2 linked regions of the Rhinolophus ferrumequinum genome follow. The protein of the gene in region 1 binds, or shares a complex with, the protein of each later gene. Links are inferred from orthologs where the notes say so. Each region holds a gene or a part of one and is shown in the gene's direction. Other genes may lie near its edges.

What was found. Proteins that work in one complex are often made in the same cells at the same time.
Region 2: HTATSF1 (region 1) and SF3A2 share a complex: the UniProt entries of both Homo sapiens proteins name them as parts of the 17S U2 SnRNP complex. The link is inferred for Rhinolophus ferrumequinum from reciprocal best matches to the Homo sapiens genes HTATSF1 and SF3A2.

The regions. Positions count from the first base shown.
Region 1 is NC_046284.1:19,784,252-19,793,915, reverse strand, and holds the start of HTATSF1 (HIV Tat-specific factor 1), read left to right. Parts: upstream 1-5,779; coding exon 5,780-5,965; intron 5,966-8,246; coding exon 8,247-8,427; intron 8,428-9,082; coding exon 9,083-9,130; intron 9,131-9,597; coding exon 9,598-9,664. UniProt on the Homo sapiens protein: Component of the 17S U2 SnRNP complex of the spliceosome, a large ribonucleoprotein complex that removes introns from transcribed pre-mRNAs.
Region 2 is NC_046301.1:61,018,164-61,027,811, reverse strand, and holds the start of SF3A2 (splicing factor 3A subunit 2), read left to right. Parts: upstream 1-5,912; 5' UTR 5,913-6,066; intron 6,067-8,749; 5' UTR 8,750-8,787; coding exon 8,788-8,913; intron 8,914-9,648. Other genes in the region: PLEKHJ1 (pleckstrin homology domain-containing family J member 1), read right to left, coding at 3,772-3,837, 3,913-3,976, 4,054-4,144, 4,978-5,044, 5,125-5,192, 5,282-5,375. UniProt on the Homo sapiens protein: Component of the 17S U2 SnRNP complex of the spliceosome, a large ribonucleoprotein complex that removes introns from transcribed pre-mRNAs.

The DNA.
Region 1 (9,664 bases):
CTAAAAAATAACACTTCACAGGTTTTTTTGACTGCCCTTTTCTATTAATCTCTATTCCATTATAACTACAACTGTTCCATTGCAATGAAAATGTTTTGGGATCAGCGAGTATAAAGTAATGAGTAAGGATCAGGGGCAGGGAGCTTGCCTTACTGGGTCAACACTTACGGACTTAATGTAGTTCCACTTACAACTACCATTGACTATTGGGCAATGTTCTCTTTCACAAATATTGTGAAGAACTTGCCTTATTAATAGGCAGAATAAGTGGCCACATCTATGGTGTCACTTGAGGGCCCCAGAAAAGGACCCTTGTTGAAAAATCTGCGAGCCTGCAGCAGTCTGAAATTCTTTCTTTAAGGAAATTCATTTCTTTCTAGTAAGCAGTGCCCTCTTTCTAAAAAATGCAGAAGTACCACATGAAACCCCTAACACCTGGGTGTGCAGTTGTAACCAGATCATGTTCCTGCTTGACTTCATTAAACCCAGTGGGGTGCCTAAGTCCTGTAAGAGTATGACCTAATTAATCCCTGCCCTTGGAAATCAGATGGAAGGTTCTGGTTTCCTATCCTCTGCTCCTACTTGCTAACGCTGTAAGCTTGTTAATAATTGTTATTTCAAACAACTGTTGTCAGTAGTTGTCAGATTGAGATTTGTGGTTTCAGAAGATGTTTTCTTGGGGGCAATTTAATGCATTTGTTTGGCACTAGAGATAGCTAAATTTGTATTTTCAAAAACTTGATTTTGGGGTGTGCTTTGGTAGTTTTGATTGAGCTTTCTTTAAATGGCTTGTGTAGTTGTGAACTTTGCTAATGATGTGGCTCAAAAAGGGGATATATAGTCACACTAGACTACATTTCTGTAAAATTGGTTCACTTAAGTGGGGAGTGCCAATATTATATTAATACTGTTTTAAGTCGGGCATTGTAATAAGCAGGGCAAAACAAATAAATATTAAATAAAGTTTCAAATGACTGCGTAACTTTGTATTCTAAAAACAATACTTCTGACAGCATGTAACTGAGAACCCATTTTAATCCCAAAATTTAAGTTATTTTCAAGTCACAAAGCTCCCAAATATTTTATTATTTTCCTTACTCTGGGTAAAAATTACATCTTTTCTCTCCTAAGGATATAACATTTTAGAGATAACTTGGTAAAAGTACCAGATTACAAGACAGCCTTTTAGCAGTTGATTAAACTAGAGCTCAAAGAACTTTCATTTTCTACATTCTAAGTAATCCTGAAGTGACTTATGGATCCGATATAAACTAATACCCTAATTAGTTTTATAGGGCATCAGCCTCCCATCCAGAATTAAAGAATTGGGATTAAAATTCATAGAATTGTTTTGATTTTTTTAGAGGGAGTGGTCTTTTTTTTAAACAGATTTTCCTTGTCAGGACTAACCTTACAAATAGGCCCCAATATCCACAATTTCTTTCACACTGCCTATTGTTGTACCAGAAATGTTACTACAGAAGTTTGCATTTCTTTGGAGAGGGTCCTCAATATGAAGAGAGTTGGGACACATGAAGAACAAATCTTGTATACTTCTCAATTTTGCTCTGGGTTTGTCCTGATCTACAAGGTCAGACAATTAAGTTCATGAACTCATCCTAGAAAAAGTGCTACATACCTCATTGCTAATATCACTACAGTCACTGTGGGGACAGAGCCAGGAGTGCAGTTTCCAGGCTCTCGGCCTCACGTGGAAAGGTGCTGGCTCAGGTAGTAAATGGCCATCAACTCTGATTGGATGGCCATCAGCTGTGGCTAGTTGGCCGTCAGCTGTAACCAGTGAGCCACTGGCCACTAATATAACTGCCGTGGCTACGCTAGCAGAAAATGGGGGCTAGCAAGAAGATGGTGGCTGAGTTAGCAAGCGCGGATTGCAGTTAGCACGGAGGATTGCAGTTAGCAAGTGGGGTGGGTTGGCAGAGAGAAGTGGACGGCAGGCTGTGGATCATGTGTCTCCTGCTTCCTGTGTCTCCAACCCAGCCTCCAGTGAGACTGTAGTGGTAAGACTCCCCTATCTATGGCTCCGTGGGTGTTCCTTTTTGGCCTCACCATATCCTGCGTTCTTGTGCGCGGAGTGAGAGCTGAGACCCTGCATGATAGTCACCTTCAAAGTACTCCCCCTGGGAAGCTATGCACCGACACCAGCGCCTAGTCCACTCTTCAAAGTAATTTTGGAGCTGTCTTTCTGGAATGGACATCAGAGCTGTCGTTGTATTACCCTTGATGTCCTGAATGTCATCAACGTGTCTTCCTTTCAATATTTCCTTTATCTTCGGGTAAAGAAGTCACCGGGGGCCAGATCAGGTGAGTAGGGAGGGTGTTCCAATACAGTTATTTATTTCCTGGCTAAAAACTCCCTCACAGACAGTGCTGTGTGAGCTGGTGCATTGTCATGATGCAAGAGCCATGAATTATTGGCGAAAAGGAACTTTTTCGCGCGTGCAGCCTTTTCGGCACTTCCAAATAGTACAATTGGTTAACTGTTTGTCCAGTTGGTACAAATTCATAATGAATAATCCCTCTAATATCTAAAAAAGGTTAGCAACATTTTGCAACAAGTTCGCAAACTTAATTGTCAGACCTCATAAGACTGGGAATAATGGACCATAATAATATGCTATAAAGCAGGAAAACAAAGTCACAAACTTAGATACAACCAAAACGTCCAATGGGGAAGTGTTTGTCATTGAAGTTGAAAGTGCCACAAAATATTTAACTGGCATAGCTACTGAAAATAGCAAATTTGGGTTTAAGAATTTCTGCAGTTACGACTTGAGGTCAGGGATCCATCAATCTTTTTGTCAAAAGGAGTTACTTTTCTTTCCACTCAGTCTTGACATTGAAGGAAGTGGGAACAGGAAAATTCCCAAATAGAGTTAGCTTGAATAGGCCATTAAAAAAAATGTCATTTGGTATAGCTCAGTAATTTTCCAGAAAGAGTTCCTAGACCAGGTAGGTGACTTCTCTGGCCAAGAAGTCTTTGCTTTTGTAAGTTAATGTATTTTTATTTACCAGGAAGGTCACGGCCTATCAAGCCAGGAGTACAATACAGATCACCGCTTACAAAGTTCAGAGAGAGAAGAATGAAGAAGATATTCAAAAAGAAGCTGGCTGTCTGGGTTCCAAGACTGGTTCAGCTTACTGGGTCCAGCTGCTCCTGATGTGGCCCATCTACATTCTGGTCCTGGAATTTCAGGAGCTACCCCCTATCTTTATAATAATAAAGGTCCCCTCTGTTTGCTTGTTACCTTAAGTGTTTCTCTGACTTACAAAAGAATCTTGAAAAAGACAGGTTACAAAGACAGAGACGTTTACAGATTACCTCGGGATTACTAGGGAGTTAATTCTATGAATACACAGGGAAATAAGAACAAACAAGAACCAGGCCTCATAGAGACAATAGCATTGTTTAAAAAAACAATTGTCAGGTCTCATGGTAAAATAGAATGCTATTGTAGCTACAAGTGTGCTTAGCTCCCAACTCCACTGTTATGGTGACTCAGTGACCCTCTGTCCATGTCAGGTTCTCCTCTCACCTCTGGGGAACTTCACAGCAGACCTCTGTTCTGCTAGTCACCTTTCCTACGTGGGCCTCCCTGCTTTTGTGCTCCTCTATGTCCCTGTTTGTTCCATACTCATTCCTCACTGGGAGAGGCTCTTATTGGCTCAGTTCATCAAATTCAGTCTAGAAGGCAGGCTTCTGGAAAGCCTTTGGGCCCGGTTGGCTGGGTCACATGGGATGCAGGCATAAGAAACCTTTTTGACTACTTACTAAAAGGGGCCTGCGGATACAGCAGGCACTCAGAGTGTCATATGCAGTAGGGCTGTGTATCATATTATCACTTATGCTGTGAATTCACTCAGGAATTAAATGGGAACCCAATAACACATTGCTGAAAACAGCTGTATACTATTTTTGGATCCAGGAAGAAATATTTAGCAATGCTTAAATGAGCCTAATAAAACTCATGTTATCTATATTATAAACTGCATGCAAGTTCAGTTCTCCACTAGTTCCCAACACAACAAGAACTTCATAAAAAGAAATGTAATTGAAAAAAAACCCAAGATACTATTTAAAAATCATTGTTATGGTGGAAACCATGTTCACAAAGCTGGTGTTTGGGGAGTGAGAATTTTCTAGAACCTTACTCAACTGCTATGTTTAGAAGCAAAGGAAATAGTAGAAATAATTTCTTCTGGGACTCTTTCCCCCACCCTCAAGTCTGGGTTATGAACTTTATGTTTACATATAATGGGTTTATTATTTTAAAGGAATAAATACTTTTAAATGATTGTTTTGTGACAAATACTGATAAGTATAATCTATATAAACAAAAGCTCTTTGAGGTCTTCAGTAACTTTTGAGTGCAAAGGGGTCTTGAGACCAGAAAGTTTGATAACTGCTGCATCCAGTATTTCAATCCTATCATTTCCCAAGTAAGTGTGTCGCCCTTGAGCTGTGCCTGTCTTGTCGACTGCTGTGTAGCCAGAGCTTACCCAGTATAGTGCCCGGCACTTAGCAAGAGCTCAATAAATGTCCGTCCAATTAAAAATTACAGACTTCTCCATTTTCAGTGATGTGCAATTTCTTAAAAAGTTGTTTAGAGGAAAAACATTGTGTCTTTCTAAAAGAAATAAAAAACAACAAAAAAAGTCGGCCAATAAAGCTGGTGTTTACACTTGGATGTTTATGTTTCAGGTTTCGAGCTTGAGCACCTCTGAATCATGAAGTCCAAGAGGCAGGCAACTAACTGCTGCCCTCTCTCCCTTTCCAGAGTCCATCTGCAGCCTGAAGAAGGTACCACAGAGATAAAGGAGGGGGCTGAGGTTTGGAAAAGGTTAGTCCTTCCACTCTTGCTCCTTCGTTCACTCACTCATTCACTCATTCACATCAGACCCCAAGCTAGGAGCTTACGCCACCAAGATGAAACAGATTCGGCGCCTACCCTAAGCAATCAGAGAAAAAGAAGTAAAGACACATTTCCCACGAGGAGGAGGAGCCTTTGTGCAAAGGAGGTGTGGCCTTTTCTCCGCAAGACAAACCTGTTCCGCCTGCCCCATGCACCCCAAGATGGCGGCGCCCCGACTCCCGCCTGCCAGGTGCGAATATTCACACGCCTTAGGGCTGCCGCTCCGCACCAGCCCTGCCCGCCGCGGCTCCTGCACTCCGCGGCTCTCACCGCCCCGAGGCGACCGGCACGGAAACCGGTGCGTGGTAGCCGCGCGCCCCCTAGTGCCCCGCCCCTGGGCCTCGCGCCGCAGGTCCGCGTCGGCGCTTGTTGACGCCATTATGGGCGTGTCGGCGCGACCCGCGACGTCTCGTCGCGCCATCAATGGCGACTGCGTCAGTCTGAGCGGGCCTCCGTTCTCAAGTCGTTGCCGCCGGACCTGCAGTCGCCTCGACCCGGTGGCGGCGGCGGTGGCGGCGCGCGTGCGCGCTCCCGCCGCGCCCTGGATCGAGCGGCGGCGCCGAGGCCTGGCGGGGCGAGCCAGGTGGGCGGCGGCGCAGCAGAACAGGCAGCTTCGGTCCGCGCGCGTGCGCGCGCGCTCGCGGCGAGCGGGCGGGCGGATCGGGGGGCGGTGCGGCCGCTGTGTGGCCCGACCTCCCGGGGGCTGCTGGGGCGCCACGGGGAGGCGCGCCGGGGGGCGGCAGGGCGCGGGCCGAGAGCTGCAGACCTCATTTTCTCTGTTCTCCTCCAGCCTTATCTTTGCCTCTTCGCTCGCCCGGACCCTGCCCCTGAGCTAAGTCAGCAACATGAGCAGCAACAACTTGGATGGGAAGGACGACTTTGATGAGCAATTGAGAATGCAAGAATTGTACGGAGACACCAAGGACGGAGACACCCTGAAAGATCTCGGCGGAGAAACCAATTCTATCGTGCAGCAGCCAAGTGACACCCCCTACGAGTGGGACCTGGACAAGAAGGCTTGGTTCCCCAAGGTAGGAGTGTGTTACCACCGGTGCCACTGCAGAGCGGGCCCGCCTTGCGGGGCGCTCCTTGTACGTTTTCTTTGCGAGGTCCTGAGTTGGAGCCCCTACGGATAGTGACGCTTTTGTTGTTGTTGGGTCTGTTGCAGAACCAGTGTGTAAAGGAACATATATCTTTAGGGAGATGTCTTAAATGTAATTTAATTCTTAATTTTTTTTCTATGCCTTATTAATTTTATCTGTGAAGGTCACAATTGGTTATTACACTGGTGACTGCTTTTTATTGCAAAAAGGAAAAACACCAAGAGCAAACTTAGTCGCTGTTACTCTCAGGGAGCCAACGTCACTTATCCTAGAAATTCAGGTGTTTAGCTTGTATACTACGTACAAATGCAGCTTCTTGATTAAAAAAAAAACACCTAGCCATTTGTATATCTTTACTGATTGAACTTTGTTTGCACCTCTACTTTCTATTAAATTTTGTCCCTAGACACACTCACTGCTTGAGTCAAAAGTTATACACAGGTGTTCCACTGCGAGGGGGATCAGCGTCCCTAACCCCTGTGTTGTTCAAGGGTCAACCGTATTTCACTTCTGTAGTGGTAGTGCCAGCTAGGGTGCAGATTTGGTTTCTTCAGCCTTCTGAGTACTTTTAACAATAGTCTGATAATAGATTCATTTGCGACTTACCTTTTTATGTTAGGGAGGCTGAGGAATAGGACTAGAGATGCACAGAATATATGGTTGGAGAAGATCTGTGAATATTTATTTAGAGTACTTGGAGAAATCGTTAAGTATTTTATTTCAGCTTGGAAGTAAAATAACTGGTGTTAAACCTGGTTCTGTAAACTTTTCCGTAAAAGTACCCTGTTAATCAAAATCTCATATGGGTGGAAAAAAAGGATACCAATAGCACACTAATTGACTTTCAAGCCTGTAATAACAAACCCTGTCTCCATTGTGTAATTTGTTACTTTAAAAATTATTTATTTCAACTTCTTTCTTTCCTATTGTGTGTGTGTGTGTGTGTTGCATTCCTTCCAAATTTTTACATTTGCCACAGTTGACCCTTTAACAACATGGGTTTGAACTGCGTGGGTCCACTTATACACAGATTTTTTTCATCTTGTATGCAGATAACATAAACTTATGGTATCGATAAATATAGTACAGTACTGTGACTGTATTTTGTCTTACGATTTTCTTAATAACATTTTTTATCCTCTAGGTACTTTATTGTTAGGATACAGTATATAATACATACACAAACTATGTGTTAATTGACAATGTTATCAGTAAGGCTTCTGGTCAACAGTAGGCTATTAGTAAAGTTTTGGGGAGTCAAAAGTTATACACAGATTTTCGTCGGAGTGAGGGGTTTGGCATCCGTAACCCCTGTGTTGTTCAGGGGTCAGCTGTATTTCACTTCTGTACTGGTAGTGCCAGCTAGGGTGCAGATTTGGTTTCTTCAGCCTTCTGAGTACTTTAACAATAGTCTGATAATAGGTTCATTTGTGACTTACCTTTTAGTGTCATGGAGGCTCAGACCTCTTCAAACTTTGAGTTTAAATTTTTCCCATTCCTGTGTGTGTCTAACATTGATTGGTATGAAGATATAACTACATTTCTTTCATTGTGCAATCGTGCTTTTTTCTCCAAAAGCCAGGAGGATAGATGTGAGTTGGATTTGTTCTTAATTTGTTATGACACTAAATGAGAATGTGATTTAATTCACGATAAAGTTAAAACAAGCATTTTGTTTAACTATTGTTGGCCTCATTCTTTATACACCAAATCAAAGTTCCATTCTGTGTGCTCTTTGCATGCAGATATTTAAATATTTAATGTACATACACTTTGTGCATCTATATCGTTAAAGAAAAAAATGATTCTGTTGTTAGATTACTAGTTGACTATAGTTTTTGTTCTGTTTTGTTATCTGGTACTTCCTTTGTTATATGTACTTGTAGCCTTCATCAAGTAGACTGCGGAGAGGTAGTAATTTATAAATGAAACAACTAGAAAATATGCCAGTATCATTTAAAATGCCTTGATAGTAGCTCAGACTTTTGTGTTGATAATCCAAGTACCCGTGTCTGTCTTATTTTTTGAATCATTGTATGCACACTTTTGTATATAAGGTGACTATTCTTCCATTTACACTTTATTACTACAACTATTACCCACTTCTGTATTAAGTTGTATAACTGCATATGCAGTAATTTAACACAGTGTAAACTTTTTGCAGGAGGAAATCATTTTTGAATTTATGTGTGTTGAATTTCTTGTTCAGATAACTGAAGACTTCATTGCTACATATCAGGCCAATTATGGCTTTTCTAATGATGGTGCGTCTAGTTCTACTGCAAATGTGCAGGATGTCAGTGCTAGGCCTGCAGAGGAACCGCCACAAAGAAACACCCCTGAACCCACTGAGTCCAAAAAGAGGGGAGAAAAGAGAAAGGCTGACTCAGGTAAGTGGATTTAGCTTGCAAAACATGAGTGTAAAAATTTTTTAAATGTGAGTGTGTGTGTGTGTGTACAGTTACTTTTTGGAGAATTATAATGGCTTTGAAGGAATCATAGAGATGAGTGTTTTAAATTATTACTTGGGTTCATATGTTGGCTTTCACACTAACTTATTGTGGGCATTGCGTTGGCTGTTTCAGTTTTATGCCTCAGTTGCTTCCTTTGCAAAATAGAGCTATTGTTGGGGTATTGTCAAAAGTTCTGTTTGTAAGGTTATTTTCTTGTACTTTTTGAGTTTAATTAAATTGAACTCATATCAGTTTTGCTTCAGCTTGGCCCTGTCTAACACAGTAGATTGGAGTTGGAAGCAGTTAAATGCCAAGGCCTAAATTCAGTGCAAGGAGGAGTTTTTTTAAGGTAGGATCGGAATCATAACCAAGATAAACCCTCTTTTTTCAGAAAGGGCTCTGAAGCTAATTATCTGTTAAAAGATCCAAATACTTTGAAAGCTGCACAGTGGTTTGAGTTAGTCTGTCTTGTTCTAAGGGTAAGAAAAAGTTCCTGAAAGTTTGGAGAAACTGCCACATTGTCAAGATTTCATGATGTGACTTTTACCTTTTCTTGCATGTGTTTTATTTATTTATTCATTTTGATTTTTAGGATGGTTTCATGTTGAAGAAGACAGAAATACAAATGTATATGTGTCTGGTATGTATACCTTTTTAATACAAATTTAGAGTAGAAAATATTTGATTTTGATATTTTTCATAAAGTAATTTTTAGTTTTCAGTTTCTCTAAAGTCTGTTTTTTATTGTGTCATTCTTTGTTCAACTGTTCACATCAGGGAGGAATGTGTTGTTTATTGCAAAACTAAGAAAAATTAAGTGTATGTAACTTTGCACGCCATCCTTTTTGTCTGCTTTAGGTAACTTGTGGTAATTTATCCCTCAGATTCATTGATACAAGTCCTAGGCAAAGAATTTTAAATGTATGTTTGAATACATTAAAACACGAAATTTCCTCAATTCTACAGATGTGAGATTTTTACATACATTTAGAAAATCAAAACTGCTCATCGAAGTTGTAGCTTTCTAATTGGTAGAATGCTAAGTAACCCTCACCTTTATTTAGATGCTTTTATAAGTTTTCATATTTATTTTTCCTAATGTTACAGGTTTGCCTCCAGACATTACAGTGGATGAATTTATACAGCTCATGTCCAAGTTTGGCATTATTATGAG
Region 2 (9,648 bases), on another chromosome or scaffold:
GGACCCAGAGCCTCACGCAGGCCTTGGGACTGTGACCTCCCACCTCTGACTGGGCCAGGGGCGTGGCATAAGAGTGTCTGCGAAGACCACATTCTGTCCATCCATCCGTCCATCTGTAGGCTTTGCTTCCCCAGTCTGGGGACATGTGGACTGCTCTGAGTGAAACACTAACGCTGTGCTGCCTTTCCTCCCGCGCCGCTCTCTGCAGGTAACTAGGATTTCTACCTCAACGGCGACACCTGTGCGAGGACAGGTGGGCCACGGGAACGGCGGCCGACCACCGGACAGCGGGACAGACCGAGGACGAGGCTGTGCCGTGAGTCCACGCTGCACAGATATGCAGGAGATGCTGGGCCTGGCTCCAGCGTGTACTGTTGATAGTTTTAGATAAAGTATTTATCGTTTTTTAAAAAGTATAAACAATTTTGACTTATTTTATTCCACCGAAGTCATAAAGGCAACCTATTGAGAAATGTAAATACTATATATGAGAGGATCTATATAAAGACCTGGACCCAACGGACTGGCCGCCCGCGGAGACCCCGACAGCCGGCCCGGTGCTATCTCACCGCCAGGCCTCGCCGCCTCCACGTTCTCTTGGTGCTGACTCGAGGTTGACCAACGCCAAAACCAGTGCTTGCTGCGCCCGCCCCGCCATCCTGCGCTCTCCCGTACCAAAGGCACGCCTGTCTTCAGGTCAAGGGTGGTTTGCTCGCTTTCTGACGTCCCTCAGAAAAGCCCCTCTCCCCCATCACTGTGAACACTCCCGGCCAGACTGTCAGCCCTGGATCCTGGGACGGCTCCTTTGGTGTGGGGACGCGGGCGGTCGGCGGGCTCCCTGATGCTACAGGAGGAGGCCGCTGTGAATGGTGCTTGGTGGGGGGGGGGGTCTGGTACCTGTCGTCGTCGCGTGTGTCACGGAGCTGCTGGGAAACAAGTGCTTTACTTTGTACGTGCTATCTTAGTCTTGGGCTCATGCAGCCCAGCAAGGTGTGTGGCCGCCGGCCGGGGCATGTGGCAGGTCAGCCGTGGGTGCCTGGTGTGTCTGTACAGAAGAGAGTCACGCTGACGAGTGACAGTATTTTATAGAGATGTGATGAAAATTTATAAATTTCATAGACTTGACTTTGTTTATTTTTAGATCGTATAATGCACAGTAAACTTAAAAGGGAGAAAGAAAAGTGAGGGGGGAAACCTTTTTATTTATTCAAGTGCACACAAGTGGCGTTGGCCCAGGGCCGAACACCCCTTGTCCCTCTTCTCAGCCTGTGCCACTGCTCCATGTCTCCACTGGCCCTCCAACCCCGCAGCTGGGGTGACACCTGCCCCCACTGGAGTAGCCTCCATGGTGCTTGGGAACCAGTTCCCCGGGGTGGGCTGGCAGGGCAGAGGCGGGCTTCGCAGGAAGGCAGGAGAGCTGTTGCCGATGCTTCCAGAGGCTGCCAGTAGGGTTCTCGGCTCCCTCCAGCGCAGCTGTCTGTGACTAGTTCTGGATCCTGTGTTGTCTGCAGAGTCCCTGAAAGGGCGAGTCCAGAAGCCCTCAGGACCCCATTGTGGGAGCTCCAGAAAGGGTTAGGAGCAGGTGCAGTCAGAGCTCTGGCCTCAGGTGCTTTACCCCAGGAGGTAGCACCCCCCCAAGGAACAAAGAAGTCCTTTTTCTAAAGGTGGGGCTGTGCAAAGGGATTTGACCTGTTCCTGGAGAAAAGGCCTGAGCCCCGCCTTCCCCAGCCTGGCCAGCAGGGCCTTCTGCCAGGTCCCTGCATCCTGATCCCTAGGGGCAAGACAGGCCTTGGCAGATGGGAGGAGGGGGTGGGGGGCTGGAGTGGGGGGGCCTGGGAGAGCCCTGCCTCCTGTGTGCCCTGGGGTGGTGCCTGGCCCAGAGCAAATCCAGGCTGAAGATGGTGCTCGGTCAGGTTCTTGGAACCGGCTGCCCTGTAACTGCTGCCCTGGCTCCCTTCCCTGCCGGTCAGTGCACGAAGGTGCTGTGCTCACCCCAAACCCCATGTCCCCCCCTCCCTTGTCAGGAGCACAGGGCCCCCTAAAAAGCTGCAAGGCTGACAGTAGCAAAGTCACAGCACGTGGCGAGTCCCTGGTCTGGAACTAAGCAACCGTTCTCAACAGTGCTTCTCTTCCGGACGACTGGGGTCCTTGTGTGGACTTCATACTGACATGCCATATCTGCCCCACAGCAGTTAGCACTGGGGGTCTCCGTCTGTGCCCGCCCTCAGCCCCTAGGCCCTCCTGACCAGGAGATCGATCGGCCACTATTGGCTGCCAGGGAGGGGAGGCCGCATGGCCCTATGGGGAGCGGGTTCTGGTCTCTGTGCAGAGACCCTGTGCTGCTGTGACTGTGGGCAACTTCAGGGAAGCCCAGGGCTGCGAGGGCGCTTTGCTCAGGAAACCTAAGTCGGACGACCCTCCCAGTCAGGAGGAGCCAGCCTTCCCTTCCAGCTATGACTCGTGACTTATTTAAGACCCACTCACCCCTTTATTTATCCGCGCCGTCTGCAGTAGGAGATTTGTTTTCTTGTCCTTTTACCACCACCCGCCACCCCCGCCATCATTCCCATTCAGTCTCAACCTTGACTATTAACTCAGATAGGGCCCTGCCTGCTTTGTGGTTCTGGTAGACTGTCTCAGTTGGGGCGCTGGCGTGGCCTTCTTTCCCTACGGGAATCCCACTGCACTCTGATTTCCATCTCTAGACTGTAATAAAAGACTTGTTTTCACTTGAACCTGGTCTGCTGGCATTTCTTCCTGGTTACCACAGTGAGACCTTAGCCTTGAGGGCCCAAGTGCAGAGGACGGTCACTCCCAACAGGCCCACAGTGCTCCTGAAAGCAGCCGCTGTGACTAGCAGACTGCAAGTGCCCACCTCAGGGAGGCCCAGCCCCTGCAGGGCTTATACCTGACGAGGTCCAGCACCCCAAGGACGGCCCTTTTGATGAACTAAAACCAACCAACTGCGACTCGGACGTGGGCAGAACCCTTTCTGAGGTCCCACGTGCACCCAAGGGAAAGCCCTGTGACGATGGGTGGGATCACGGGCCACCTGAGGATCCCATCACACCCCCGCCTCCATCCTACCTTAGGGCCTGTGAGCACCAGAGGCCCCAGGGGCCAGCCTCCCTGACTTGCCAGGCTCTGGGTTCTGGGTCTCCTCCCCTCTATTTGGGCAGCCCAGCCCCTTCTTCCCAGGCACTTAAACCTCAGGCCTGGAAAGGACCTGTCCCCCAGGAGCCTTACTTCCCTCAGGGGCCAGCTCCAACGGCCTGGGACCACCAGCCTGTGGAGGATCCATGTTCCTCTCTGCATTCACTGCACCACCAACCCATGTGGAAAAAAGAGGTACCTTTATTTGAACAGAATAGGCACACGGGCCCAAGGGCAAAAGCTCCCAGCTCTGCCCAGCGGCCTCCAGCCAGGGCCGGCCCTCGCCCTCAGCAGGACAGTTCACAGCCCCGTGCCCTTCACAGCATCGTCCAGCTTCATGCATTCAGCCTGCACAGAGCAGGAGCTTCGGGCCTCCCTCGCCAGGCCCTGGAGGGATGTGCCCGCGGGGCCAGACACAACACTCCCCGGCAGCAGCATGTGGCACCAAGAGGTGCCGGACCAGTCTGGTGGGTCCCAAGGCACAGCCCCTGCCCACTCTCAGCAGCCTGGGGCCTCTGGAGTCTTGAAGCCGAAACACCTCACTCCATAAATCCAGGTCCCTGGGAGGGGGGGGGGGGCTCCTCAAAACTGGTGAGTGTGAGGAGCCTGATCGTGGACTCATGCCTTCAAGCCACTCAGCTGGAACCGGGCCTCTTCCGATATGCCGAACTGCTCCAGGGGGTCCTGTGGGGTGGACAGCATAGCGTGAGCCCCAGGCCACGAGCCACCCCCGTCCCGAGCCGTGTGCCCCATGCCCACCTTGCCGGTCATCTTCTGGATCTCATTCCTATAGAAGATGAGGCTCCGGCGCATGAACTCGTAGCTGGAGAAGAAAGTGGCCTGTGTTCACAGGGCTGGCTCTACCTCCACCCCAGGCCCCCTGGGCCGCCCATGCCCCACCTGGCTCGACGAAGAGCCCCCATCCACTCCTGACACTGCTCCTCGCTACAGCACTCAAAGTGGTACTTCCTCTCCGGGTCCTCGATGAAGCCTGCAGAGGGAGGGGCCCCGTGTGTCCCTGCTCACTCCCACCCCCACCAACCACAGGCTTCAGCTGTCTGTTGCCACTGTCCACAACTGTCCCCTCCAGCCCAGGCTCCTCGCTTCCCACCGGCTGTGGGTTGACCTGTGTCCCCCAAAAGGGTAGGTTCAAGGCCTAGCTCCCAGAATCTGGGAACAGGGTCATTGCAGATTAATTAAGGTGAGGTCATGCTGGAGTGCGGTGGACTCCTAATCCAATAGGATTGGTGTCCTTACAAAAAGGGGGAATTGACAGACACACAGGGAAAAGGCCAAGAAGACGATGGACGCAGAGCGGGGTGATGCGTCTACAAGCCAAAGAATGCCAGAAGCTGCCAAGCCTCCAGAAACTGGGAGAGCCTGGGACAAATTATCCTCAGAATTAACCAGTCCTACCGACACCCCAACCTGAACTTCTGCCCTCAAGCAGTGAGAGAAGTAAGTTTCTGCTGTTGAAGCCCCCCCCCCCCCCCCGTCTGTGGCAGCCCCAGGACACTAGAAGTTCCGGCCTTCCCTGAAAACTCCATCCTCTCAAAGAGACCCAGAAGAATCCTCCGGGGTCCCATGCACAAAGCCCGGCACTGAAAATGGGTAAATACAGCAAGCATTGACCCGAGGGCTATGCTCCCCAAGAGAAGACAAAGCCCTTGTGGCCTTGCGGTGGCAGCTAGGGAGGGGCTGGGACGGATGCGCACAGCCTGCACCACAGGGAAGGAGCCCAGCCCTGAACTTTGTTCCTGGGAAGGGACGGGGCAGGGCGGAGTTGGGGGTCATGGCCGGCCTGGCCCCACCCCCCGCACTCACTGATGGAGAAGCCGCTGGGCTCTTCCTGGGTGATTCTGCAGTGCTCCAGCAGCAGGGCTCCAACGGGCTGGGGGCAGACGGGGCGAATGGGCGGGCCACCCTAGGACCCCAGCCCCCAGCCCGGGACCCGCCTCCCCGCCGCCCTACCTCTGCCTCATCCGTCCGGAAGTAGAAGAGGAAATTAACCACCAGCTTCACCAGTCGTCGCTTCACCACTGCGGACACAGGGCGGGCTCGCGAGGGCTGGCGGCCGCCCAACCCGCCGCTGCCCGCCCGCCCCGACCCTCGGCCCTGGCCTGCTCACCGCTGCCCTTCTTGGGACCCCGCATGCCCAGCTCGGCCGCCAGCTCGGCCGGCTGCCTGGACAGCGCCTGCAGCTCCTTCTCGTTGTAGCGCATGGCGCCCCGAGGCCCAGAACGTAGAGTACCGGCCGCGCCCTACCGGCCGTTGTCCCCGCTCACGCCAAAAATGTCCCAGGGCACGTCCCGGAAGTTCTCCCAGAGCTACTGCGCCGGCGCGCCCCAGGGCTGCCCATCCTGTCAATCACCGGCGAAGGGCGCTGGCGTCCCGGGGGCAGCAGAGATCGAGTGGAGCCCTCGTGGGGCCCACGGGAAAGTCAAAGACAGACTGTTATATGTATCATGCAGTGTTAGGCCCAGGATAGAAAAAATAAAACACCCCTACGACCCGTGGCACCCAAATGGGCAAGAATAGGCGGAAGGTCTGGGTACAAGTCGCTGCCCTCCTTCCCGCGAGAACTGGGTCCTGCGAGTAAAACCGACCGAGAGGTCATTGAGAGCCTGTTGGGCATGCGCACTTCAGCTTCCAGCCTGCACGGAGTCCCGCTCCCTTTCCTGGCACCTACAGAGCTGCTCATTCGCGCTATCGGCTGGGCCGGACATGCGCACATGGGAGGCCCGCCCCGTTTGCCCCGGAAGTGCATTCTTAGCCCGCGGGGCGCGTTCGCGGGACGAAGTCGTGGCGGCAGTGGAGACTGAAAAGGCAACGGGATCGCTGCATCCGGTGCAGGTGTAAAGCGGAGCGAGAGCGGCGGCCCCGGAGCCCGGAGTTCCCTAGGAGATAGCAGACGTGAGCGAGGGGCGCCTGCGACGGGGGCGCAGGCTGAGGGCGGGCCGCCGCGTCGCCTCCTCCCCGGGGAATGACGGGCCTCTGGGTCCCCGGAGCCCTCCGCTCGCTTGGGATTCTCCAAAGACCCATTGGGATTGGGTCGGGGTAGCAGCTCGCATGGCGCCTTCCGTGTAACCGAGGACCCCTCCGAGCATTAATTTGCATCCGTTAGTTGACAGACTCTGTGGTACGGGAGTCACTCGGTTCCTCTTCGCCTCAGTTTCTGTAACTGGAATGGGGGTAACAGCGATCGCCAGTTCCAGGGCAACTAAATAATACATAAGGTCCTGGAGTAGAGTGCCCAGCGCCGTGCCGAAGGCCACCAGAGCCAGTTAGCTGGCTGCATTTCGCCAGCGAAGCCCCGAGGTTAAATGACTTTCCACCACTCATACTGCTATGCGCGGTCGGCTTCTTTCTTCTACCCATTGGCCTTGCAGAACGTGCGAGAGGAGCTCCCGATAATAAACTGTCTGCCAGGTTTAAGGAGATAATAGTATGTTCATCAAAAGCTGGCATTCATCCCTGCTCGGTCCTCTGCCCCGGAGGCCGCCTCTGCTCAATTTTTAAAGCCGTCTTTATCTCCGTAAACATTCTTTCTGGATGTGCTGGTGTCAGACGCGACCTGCTGATTTCTTACGTGATTGATGAGGTCGTATTTCTGCCTCCCACCCACTCCCACTTCACCCTCCTACCCTGGATGCGTTTATATATCGCAAGCTTTAGTCAAATTATTAGTTCTGTTTTCTGAGACTGAAAGTATCCTTCGTGGCTAAGGCAAGTAACAAGTTCATCTGTGCGGCTTTTCCTGTACTGTTCTCCCCCAACCACTACCCCGAAGCTAATGAATGTTTTCATTTTTCCTGTTACCCTGATTTTCTTTTCCTCCTGTTAATTTTTCCTCAAAGTTCCATCACCTCAAACGGTGATAGACTGTATTTTTCCACAGGTTTAGAGGACTTGGTCCTTTTTTTAAAAAAAAATTCCGCCATAGAAATGTCTCTCCCAAATGCTGACATACTCCTGCTTCACTTTGTTCTGGTTGCTCACCTTACAGAGAAGCAGTTGTCCTAGAACGTTCTGTCAGTGCTCTCGGGTTGGCTTGTTTCCAGTCTGACTATCTCCTCTTCCTCCTATCGGCCCATCAATCGCAGGGTAGCTTTTGAAGAAATTGATTGATGGACTGATTGATTGATTTTGAGCCCTTTGAGTCCTGAAAATGGCTTTATTTACTTACACTCACAGTTCGGATATAAAATGAAAACTCGGGGTTAAAAATCTACGTTGAGAACTGTGGGAGTATTGCTTCTCTTACATGCTCAGTTCTGAGAGCTCTGGCCCCATTCTGCTTTCTAACCTTTCGCTTCTGATCTTCTGTTTGTGCAAATGGAAGATTTTCCTCATTGGTGTGCAGTTTCATGATCCATTTATTGAGAGTCTTTTTGTTTCTATTGCAAGGAATAGGTCCTTTCAGCCCTGGGGCATTTTCTTTCAGTGTTTTGATAATGCTTTTGTGTTAGCTCTCTGATAATATTTATTTCTTTGATAAGACTCTCTGTGTTTCTGTCTGTTTTCACTCTGGAATTTCATCAAGGTTCTTGCACTGCCTCATATGTTTTCCTTTTTCTCTTGTTTTCCTTATGAGATATGTCTTTGACTCTTACCTCCGAGCCCTCATATTCAATTTTTTGTTTGGATCACCCTGTCTTCTTTCCCAGGGTTCGTTGCGGTTTTAATTCACTGTGCTAACCCTTGGCAAGGTGTTGGCACCGTCTATTGAGGTTTCCATCAGGTTTATTTTTTTCTCAGCTGTATAGAGATTCTTTTTGTCTGTTACGTGAAGTTGCCACCTCTGTGTGTGAGAGCTGTCTGTGCTTCTCATCTGATGGGTCTCACTGCTCAGTTGGCCTGGCAGGGAGCTGGTATTTTATTTGGGGCACGAGGGACCCCTACTGTCAGTGTCTGAGAATACTTTCCCTGGCGCTCCTTCCCCAGAAAAGTCTCCTGAAGTCCTCCCTAAGCTGGGGGCCTCTGACCGGGGCCACCTGCCTTTGGACATGGTGCAGGGAAGGGCAGACTGCCTGCTGGTCAGTGGGCAGCTTTTGATGAAATCCCCTCTTCAACCTGGCCCTCACCCACAGCCTCTCTGTGCCTGGCTCCCAGGCCAGAGGCCCCTCATTCCAGTTCTTAGAATCAAACTGATCTGCCCAGGAGCCCAGATACCTGTGGAAAGACCTTCATCCCAGGCTGTGAGCTCTCAGTTCATTTGGGGTGGGGGTGCTGCTAGGGGAGGAGGGACAACACGGGAGCAATGGGCTTTGAGTAACCAGCAGTTTTGGTTTCCAGTGGTTACTGGTTTTGCCCTGATTGGTGAGCGGTTGAGTATTTATGTGGGCTTAGATTTCCCTAAGTCAATCATATTGTCTGGACAGGGGCTTTTCCCAACCCCGGCCAGCCACTGGCAACATAGGAGCTTATTCTGGCCATTTAGGATGGAGGGATGACGGGATGGGGGGGGGGTGGCAGGAGTGCGGGGTGAGAGACAAACATTGGGGGGCATGGTCTCCTTGCCTGCCCGTCCACCAATCCCGGGGAGGCCCCAGTGACAGCCACCAGGTTCTCACTGCCTCTCCCCTTTGCTCTCCAGGTTTCTCCCCAGTCCAATAAAACCCCAAGGCCCTCACCATGGACTTCCAGCATCGCCCCGGGGGCAAGACCGGGAGTGGAGGGGTGGCCTCCTCCTCGGAGAGCAACCGGGACCGCAGGGAGCGTCTCCGGCAGCTGGCTCTGGAGACCATTGACATAAACAAGGTGAGGTAGGGCTGGAGGGGGCTCCCCACAGCCTCCTTTCTTCCCGGGGACCCGTGGTCCCGACATCACACCGCTACCCTTGAGCAACCACCCAGCTCTCTGGGCCTCGGCTTCCTCACCTGTAAACGGGGGACTTGGGCCGGAGCAGCAGGTCCCCCCTGCCCGCCCAGGGCCGCCTGCTATCAGTGACCCCATGTGTTTACGGGTTTTCTCTGTGTAAGGGGTTTGGTTTTGTTTAATTACCCAGCGGCGTAGAGAAGCAGTGGTGAGGGCCATGATGGCGTCATATAGATTGGTACCATTCCAGCCACAGGCAGCGAAGGGCAGCATGTTCGTTCCGCTGCACAGAGCCGTTGGTAGACCAGGTCTCCCCCTGGCACTGCTGAGGGCCGTCCTGGGCACTGTGGGTGCTGAGCAGCATCCCTGCCCCCACCCACTCGATGCCAGGAGCACCCCCAGTGTGACCACCACAGATGTTCTGAGTGGCCCAGGTGAGAGCCCAGCGGTCAGTATATGGCTCCCTTAGACTTTGAAACCCTCTGAGGTGTGTGGGGCCTGTGCCTGTGAGGTCGGTTCTATTACTGTCCCCATTTTGCAGGTGAGGAAACAGTCGTGCGGAGGGAGGGGTCAGCATTGCCCAAGATGACACAGCCGCTGGCCAGTGGAGTTAGGGTTTGAACCCTGCCAGTCTGCACCACGCCTGCCCCCACTGCCTTGGTTTATGGCCAGTCAGCT